3 linked regions of the Yarrowia lipolytica genome follow. The protein of the gene in region 1 interacts with the protein of each later gene in a biochemical or structural test. Links are inferred from orthologs where the notes say so. Each region holds a gene or a part of one and is shown in the gene's direction. Other genes may lie near its edges.

Evidence for each region.
Region 2: the proteins of YALI1_C20646g (region 1) and YALI1_F30395g form a complex in vitro, tested with the Saccharomyces cerevisiae proteins (2 studies listed by BioGRID). The link is inferred for Yarrowia lipolytica from reciprocal best matches to the Saccharomyces cerevisiae genes CDC24 and RSR1.
Region 3: the proteins of YALI1_C20646g (region 1) and YALI1_B20717g form a complex in vitro, tested with the Saccharomyces cerevisiae proteins (3 studies listed by BioGRID, with this or other methods). The link is inferred for Yarrowia lipolytica from reciprocal best matches to the Saccharomyces cerevisiae genes CDC24 and CDC42.

What each region holds. Positions count from the first base shown.
Region 1 is NC_090772.1:2,062,394-2,066,158, reverse strand, and holds the start of YALI1_C20646g (uncharacterized protein), read left to right. Parts: upstream 1-1,524; coding exon 1,525-3,765. UniProt on the Saccharomyces cerevisiae protein: Promotes the exchange of CDC42-bound GDP by GTP. Controls the polarity of calmodulin, and the calcium regulatory process of bud emergence. CDC24 may be involved in the initial selection and organization of the budding site.
Region 2 is NC_090775.1:3,038,144-3,040,601, reverse strand, and holds YALI1_F30395g (uncharacterized protein), read left to right. Parts: upstream 1-1,057; coding exon 1,058-1,822; downstream 1,823-2,458. UniProt on the Saccharomyces cerevisiae protein: Ras-related protein which binds GDP/GTP and possesses intrinsic GTPase activity. Involved in development of cell polarity during the cell division cycle, and essential for bud emergence.
Region 3 is NC_090771.1:2,070,864-2,073,064, forward strand, and holds YALI1_B20717g (uncharacterized protein), read left to right. Parts: upstream 1-841; coding exon 842-889; intron 890-998; coding exon 999-1,084; intron 1,085-1,167; coding exon 1,168-1,609; downstream 1,610-2,201. Other genes in the region: YALI1_B20709g (uncharacterized protein), read right to left, coding at 1-64, 109-206; YALI1_B20730g (uncharacterized protein), read left to right, coding at 2,145-2,184. UniProt on the Saccharomyces cerevisiae protein: Involved in development of cell polarity during the cell division cycle, and essential for bud emergence. Affects signaling in the pheromone-response pathway through the STE20 protein kinase.

The sequences.
Region 1 (3,765 bases):
GCGCCTCTGAGAGACTGCGCATGTTTGTTCAATGTGACGGTTTCAGCTGAAACTTTACTGGCCCGACGTATTACCTTCAACGTATTAATGCGCCGCTCTAATTAACAACATACAAGAGTGGTAAAACAAAATAGGTTGTTGGACGAGTTGGCGCGGTGTATAAAACATTCTGGGGACGCTCGGTGAGACAAAAGAGGCCCAAAGAAAGCAAAGGACTAATAAGAGCGTATTCAGCGCGTCTCGGCGGCTAATTCCACTGAGCACTTCGGAGTCTGTCTGCACAGGTGCGTTGTTCACATAACTGTGGGAGAGAGAGAGAGGGAGAGAGAGAGAGAGAAGAGAGAGAAAGAGATGTGGATGGAATTATGGTCTATAAATAGAACCGGCCTACAGCAACACGAGGTCTCGTGCTGTAAAAACACATTCAGGGTCTCGCAATTTCGTTGCCACGTGGTAAAAAGGCTTCTTCGTTTGTACAATGAATGGACTTTGGCGACGAAAAAAACCACGAATGCGAGTCATCGGACCACTTCTTGTTTGGATATTGCAATGGGGTAGAAGAGGCTACAGTGAAGGTACCTGTTTTTTATTGTAATTGTATTGTATTGTATTGTATTGTATTATATTGTACTGTACTTGTACTTGTTCTCTACAAGTCTTATACCTACAAGTACTGTACTTGTGCTTCTCGTGTGTACTATACAACATGTCTCGTGCTCTACCCTCACACTCGTCCTCCCAAATCTTTTTAAAGGTTTTTTTAAAGATTTTCAAAGCCCGACAACTCGATAGATCGAGAGGTCAGATCGTGGGGCCAGATCGTGGGGTCACAGAGTAGAAAAATTCACCAGAGAGATGGGAAATCCGGGCTCTTTATCACGGAGGAGACCTTTTGATGGTCATCTCACGCCGTGTCCGCGGCCAGAATTGACGTTCCGCGGCCCAAATAGGCTCGGCTGACTAACATCCAGGGGCTGCGCATCTCCCAACTAAAACAAGGAGTCCGAACAATGTTGGGAAACGACAAGGAGCGGATACGAGGCCAAAACACCACGGCCGCAAAAGTCGGGTTCCTGTGCGAACTGTGTTCCGCTTGTTAATTTATCGAAGTATATATTATATATAAATATATATTATATATAAGGGGGTGGTGGTTGTCTTGTGGTTTGGTTTAGGGCTCAGGGTCCGCCACTAAACTCTCTATCTCAGGTTGTTTTATCGGGCCACTTATTACCAACCCCCCAGTCCTCTCCCCCCCCCTCACTCGTATCCCCATAAGGTTCGGTGTCTTGCTATTGTAAAGGCCCACCGCACTTGTTGACACTACCTGAGAGGACGTGACGACGTGAGTTTGAACGACACAGCACACACACGACACAAAAGCAGGCACGCTTCCATCATCGCCACGGGACTAGTCGCATCGCCCGCCCACGTGACCACACGCCTCGCACCCTCCCACGCACATCCATTTCAAAACCACGCACCGTCCACTACCACGGTCCCCCCTTGCTCCCGTCGGTCACCATGAACGGATCCTCTCGAAGACTGTCTCCGCCAAATGACAACCTGGCTCACCAGCAGATGCTGCACCAGGAGATCAACAACCTGCTACCGTCGTCGCCATACACGAAGACCCCCCAGCAACGCAAAAGCTCGTCGCAATCCACCCCGTCTCTGTCCACCTTGTCGCCGTCCACACAGAACTCCACATACCCCTCCACGCCGCGTTTGCGATCCATGACGCCCACCATGTCCATGTCGTCGGTGCAGTCAACAGCCCCCACCTCGGTGGCTCCCATGCCGGTGGCAAACCTCGTCATGAACAGACAGGCCGACTCGGAAAAGTCGCTCTACAATATGTGCAAGACCATGCGGGACCGGTTCCACGACATTGAGCAAGTGCGGCCCTTCCTGGAAGACTCGGAAATGTCGTCCATCGTGCCCATCACCCACCTACCCCCCTCCATCCCCCTGGACCCCGTTACCCAGCTCTGGTCTTTGTTCCGACTAGGAGCCCCCCTGTGCATCTTGTTCAACATGCTGCAACCTCGAACTCCACTCACAGTGGACCCCCACGCCGCCGCTAACCGCGCGTCCATCGACGTGCGAACATGCAAACGGTCGGTCTACGACTTTGTGCAGGGCTGCAAGGCCGAGCTGGGCTACTCGGACGACGAGCTCTTCACCATCTCCAACCTCTTTTCCGAAAACACGGGCGATCTTATCAAAGTGATGCGTACGGTCAGCATGGTGGTGGAGACGCTGGAGGCCAGACACCTGCTGCCTCCGAAAACTGCACCCATAACCGCACCCGCCACCCGAGACGCGCGATACAACGTGGTTCAAGAGCTGCTACAGACAGAGCGAAAGTACGTCCAGGATCTCGAAATACTGCACGACTACCAAAACCGTCTCCTGGAAGCTGAAATCCTAAACCCAGACACTATACATCTCATGTTTCTGAACGTATCTGCACTGGTCGACTTCCAGAGAAGAGTACTGGTCGGTATTGAACATGTGTGCTCTCTGCCGGTCGAAGAGCAGCGCTTTGGCGCACTTTTCCTCAACATGGAGGCTGGCTTTCACATCTACGAGCCCTACGCGCTGAACCAAAAGGCGTCCTCCGATCTGGCTGTTCAGGAGGCCCCCAAACTCACCGCCCTCGCCCACATCATCGAGCCTACCTACGAGCTCCAGGCCTTCCTCATCAAGCCCATTCAACGAATCTGCAAGTACCCATTACTGCTACGAGAGCTGGTAAAAGTGAGCAGCAGCGACCATCCTTACGCGTCAGAGCTGCTAGACGGTTTGGAGGCCATCAAGCGGGTTACCAACAGTGTCAACGAGACACAGCGAAGGGTGGAGAACGTGGCTATCATTCAAGACCTGTGCGAGCGAATAGATAGCTGGAAGAGCTACAACCTTGAAGATTTTGGAGACCTGCTCTACATGGACCACCTTACGATTGCAAAGGAGTCCGGTGAATATGAGTACCTGGTGTATTTGTTCGAGGCCATCATCCTGTGTTGCAAAGAGACACGTGATAAAAAGGGTAAGACAATGAGTTTGCCCTCAAAGAAGCCACAAAAGACAGTTCTTTCTCTCAAGGGCCGAATCTACATCGCCAACGTGACCAACATGATATCTAGTACAGAAAACGGATACTCTTTGACGCTTACGTACAAAGGAGACGGCTATGGCTCTATGACCATGCGGTTCCGACACGAAGAGCAACTGCGACAATGGGATGCTACCATCAAACAGCTGCACGACTGGTACAACCAGGACTCGTATGAGTCTCACTTTTCACCTCTTGTGGAGTCTCCAATCAGCAGCCGAAACTCCCAGCAGAGCTCGCATCTGTCTGAGGACCTGGACCGACTGACGCTTGGAAATCGGTCTCTTTCAGGCCCAGTGCCCAAGCTGGGCCCCCGACAGCACTCCACCACCTCTATCAACGGCATGCACGGGGCTAACGGCATGAATCACAGCTCGGTGTCCATTGCGAGCAGTAATGGAGGAGGCATGAGCCGGGCTAGATCTGCTTCTACTCCTGGCTTTGATGATGGCTCCATGCGTCCCTCAAACATTAAGGTACGCGTACAGTATTTCCAGGACGTATTCACGCTCATTGTGCCTGCCAAGGTCACCTACGATCAGCTGATTGAGCGGGTGGAGCGAAAGGTGCGACTGTGTGGAAAGGTGGTACCTGCCCCTCTGCGAATCAAGTACCAGGACGAAGACGGAGACATGGTGACCATCCAT
Region 2 (2,458 bases), on another chromosome or scaffold:
GCCAGTGGACGTTACATTCTTAGCGAGTGGGAGACGTGAGGCTGTCGGTTCAGACCGCAGAATGAAACAACTCGCCTTGTACAAGTATCGAACTCGCTACTGGCAGAGTGTCTCGCACCGCGCTTGTATGTGGTGGTGTGGTCTTGGGTTGCCCTGATTTTCATGATTGTCAACAGTGTTTTGACAATTGAGTTTCCAGCGGGGTCTACTTGTATCGGGCTGAATAATCATCTACACGCGCGCAACTATAGCTGTTATGCTAGACACGAGGCTGGTACAGCGCTCGGTTTGTTTATGTCCCGTGTCCACAATATTGCACAGCTTCTATGCCACTTGTACCCCTTATGTGGCTATACTAGTACAGCACGTGCCCCGAGCCTAAAGAGGTCGCGTTTCGCGTCTTGACACAAAAGTACATATGGCACTTTTCGGCGGAATATTTGTGTCAGAGCGAAATAATAAACGGGTCTATTTTTGGTTCTTCGCCAAGTGGGCCCAGTGAGGTATAGCAGCCAGGCAGGGCATATACGGCTTGAATAACGAGACAAGTAGGGGGCCAAATGAAAGGGCTTAAGGGCCACTTGCCATCAGCCGGACTACTGTACCGAGCAACGTCTGCGGAATGCGTCGTATACGCCTTAAAGCAGAGGGCGCAAAACGCCTAAAGACAACCCACAACTGTCTCACCCGCCTGTTTGAAAGAGGACATAAAAACAAAACAAAAAGCACAGAGACAACAAACAGAGTTTTGGGACTATGCTTTAGTGTTGGTGTATATGAGTTGGAATGAGTGGCGGGCAGCGTCTGATATTTGAGATTCCTGTAGGACGAGAAACAAATAAAAGATGGGAAAAAGTAGCCATAATGAAGTCAAGCATTTTTATGTAATTTTTCCACCCCTATCCCTATCACAACGATGTTCATGGACATCCGCCCAGAACTTGATGACAAACCCAAATTTCACACGTGAACTTAATGTCTAACAAGCGTAGCTACCAAAACATGACTTATACCTGAGCCCTCCTACGCTTCTCACCACCACAAAAAAATACACAGCATGAGAGACTACAAAATCGTCGTTCTGGGCGCCGGTGGCGTCGGAAAGTCTGCCATTACCGTCCAGTACGTGCAGGACATTTTCATCGAGTCCTACGACCCTACCATTGAGGATTCCTACTGCAAAAAGGTGAATCTGGATGGCCGGCACTGCACCATGGAGATTCTCGACACCGCTGGAGTCGAGCAATTCACCGCCATGCGAGAGCTGTACATCCGAAACGGTGAGGGCTTCGTTCTGGTCTACTCAGTCAACTCGGAGTCGTCTTTGCGAGAGCTGCAGGAGCTGCGACAACAGGTGTGTCGGATCAAGGACAACAACAACGTGCCCATGGTGCTGGTGGGCAACAAGTGCGATCTGGAAAACGAGCGACAGGTGCAGCCTCGGGACGGAGTGGCGCTGGCCAACCAATGGGGCAAGGTTCCCTTCTACGAGACGTCGGCCAAGTTCAAGACCAACATTGACCAGGTGTTCCAGGACCTTCTGCGACAGATCATTCGTCGAGACTCGTCGTTTGGCGGCTCAACCGTTTCCTTGGCTGGTACAAGCGGAATGGGCGTGAGCAGCCCTACCCACAGCCCCACGTCCTCTACTGGAGCAGACTATCTGAACATGCCTTACGACGATAGAGCGTCGAAGCACGTGAGTGTCAAGAGTACGAGTTCGGCAGCGTCTATCCGAAACATCTCGACGAGTTTCAAAGGGCATCAGAGGAAGAATTCGGAGGTGAAGAAGAAGAAGAAGAAGGGGTGTGTTATCATGTAAGTTGCACAGTCTAGCTACTTGTTCACAATCAGTTGTGCGGCCTATCAGCCACACATACCTATTTAAGAGTTGATCTCACTGCATGGAGTAGCACAATACTCCCACGTTCGTTAATATATGCATTTTTTTTCTGCCAATATCCTCGCATACTACTTGTACGAGTACGGGTACCCTTGTAGTCTCGTCCTTTTCAACATCTGGCACCTTAATATCTTGTTGTGTTGTGATTTCTAATGAGTATCTTCCAAAATCGTACACATACTTCCACATTCCAGGTGAATGAATCAGCCTTTCCATGGTGAGACAAGTGGGAGGTTGTCACTCTGAACTCATTCGGACTCTCATTCTCTTTAATTGAGCTAAACCCTGGTAAACCAATAATGTCTCTCCTCGCCTATTGCTATGGAGACGGACTGGACGCTCCTTGATACATGGTGCAGTTGTACATGCGAGAAGGAGATGTCGTGTTCTCGTGCGCTGTAGCCCAGATATTAGAATATTTAGTGGGGTGATTGAGGTGTGACCGACATTATAGTATGTACTGGTACAATACGTCGTACGACAGTTGTTTATGGATGGTCGGTTCCTGTCTGAGAATCCACGGAAATGAATAATATCCGACAGCGTGGGCGTCCA
Region 3 (2,201 bases), on another chromosome or scaffold:
TCGGGAAAGATAGTGGGCCATACAAGAGGGTGGTAGTACCGTGATAACGTAGTGTATGGTGGAACTTGGGCTGTTCATAGGGGGTGTTTAATAAACATTGTACGCTACTGTACCTGTAAGTACTGCACCGACCCGCGCACTAACCCGACACAAGAAATGTGCCTCATTGGCCTTGGGCTTATCAGTGAGTGATGTGGCCTATGCATGAGCGAATGGGTTGTGTGGCATAGATGTTTTGACGCTGACTGCTACGTAGCACGTAGTATAGAGGACGGCGTCAGTTTGCGGAATGTAAACGGAATGTGTGCGTGTTTGAATAGTAATAATATCCGGTCCAGTTGCCCCACGCGACAGTTTTCCCCTGTTGGCCTATTATGTCCTTTATGCCCTTGAAGTACAGTTTCCAGCTCCCCTGGGACGATTCGATTAGGGGACTTAGTTTTGGCAACGTCAGTGGGAGGGGAGAGGTGGGGCACTCGTAAGTCACAGACGGCAATAGGCGGTGGAAATATACAGAGTATTCGATGGTAGAGAAACGACTTTCTCAGACGAGAAGATTTCACAAGCCCTCGTATTCCGCGCCCCCTGGCTCACGATACACCACAGAAGCGCTCCGTGGCACACCTTTGTGCATAAAAAAGCATAGGCTTCTGTAAGCAGCCTTCTCGTTTGACACCCAAATCCGAAACCCTGTCGCACAGCACAACTCACCACCTCACATATCACACTCCACACATACACACCCACACAACACACCCACATTCTCACACTCTCACGCCCCCACCACGCTCCTTGAACAAGCTCCCGCCCTAGCCCGTGCACAGACCCTCAAAAAGATAAAATGCAGACCATAAAATGTGTTGTTGTCGGCGATGGTGCCGTCGGAAAGGTGAGTATAAAGACAAAACGCCAATTATCAAGGTTCTCGTGCTCCGCCACGATCACGATGTCGTTCTGGACGATGGATTAATGGCCCTGGAGAGCTCCTACTAACGCAGACTTGTCTCCTCATCTCATACACAACAAACAAGTTCCCCTCTGAATACGTTCCCACCGTTTTTGACAACTATGCCGTGACTGTCATGTGAGTATAACGCGTCGCATTCTGCAAGAAACCAAGCCCCCCCCCCCCCCCCCCCAAGCAACGAATCGAGATACTAACCCCAGGATTGGAGACGAGCCCTACACACTCGGACTGTTTGACACCGCCGGTCAGGAGGATTACGACCGACTGCGACCTCTTTGTTACCCTCAGACCGATGTTTTCCTCGTCTGCTTTTCCGTCACCTCTCCCGCCTCCTTTGAGAACGTCAAGGAGAAGTGGTTCCCTGAGGTCCACCACCACTGCCCCGGCGTGCCTTGCCTCATTGTTGGTACCCAGGTTGATCTGCGAAGTGACAGGATGATTCTTGACAAGCTTTCCCGACACAAGCTGCGACCCATGACCACTGAGCAAGGCTACCAGCTCGCCCGAGAACTCGGTGCCGTCAAGTACGTCGAGTGTTCTGCCCTTACTCAGAAGGGTCTCAAGGACGTTTTCGACGAGGCCATCGTGGCAGCTCTTGAGCCTCCAGTGGTCAAGAAGAACAAAAAGTGCATTGTGCTCTAGTTTTTGCATGCTAATGGGTTAACACAACGAAAAATGAATCAAAGCAAGAAAAAAATGTTTCAAGATATGTTTATTGTAGTAGAACTGGGCTTGGATTGTGTCTACAGGGCCTCCGTGAGGGAACCTCAAAACAAAGCATCACTATGCGTTTCAAGCCTCGAGATGCCACCTGATGTCTGTAGTTACCCCATTTTTGACATATATATTATTGAATATCCAAAGGTAGAACCTGACGCGTGCTTGTAGTGCTGCAGTGGTGTATTATTTCCCCTGTTGGGTCATCATTACACGATAAGTACAAGTACGGATAGCTTCCGCCTCTACAATTAAAAGACACGCCCCACCCTTATTAAGCCAGCACATCGCTCAGGCAGATGTTTGAGTCCCGAACTCTATCCTAAGAAATCCATCGAAAAATAGTGGGTGTGCGTACAATACCCTAATATCTACCTTGGTGCAGAAAATCTAATCAGAACCTACCAGAACTACACATCTACACTCACGACATTGACGTTGTACTACGACCCTTACAACTATGTCCACCATGTACAATTCCCAACCGTCGGACACTTTGTGTGAGTATTTGCGCTGG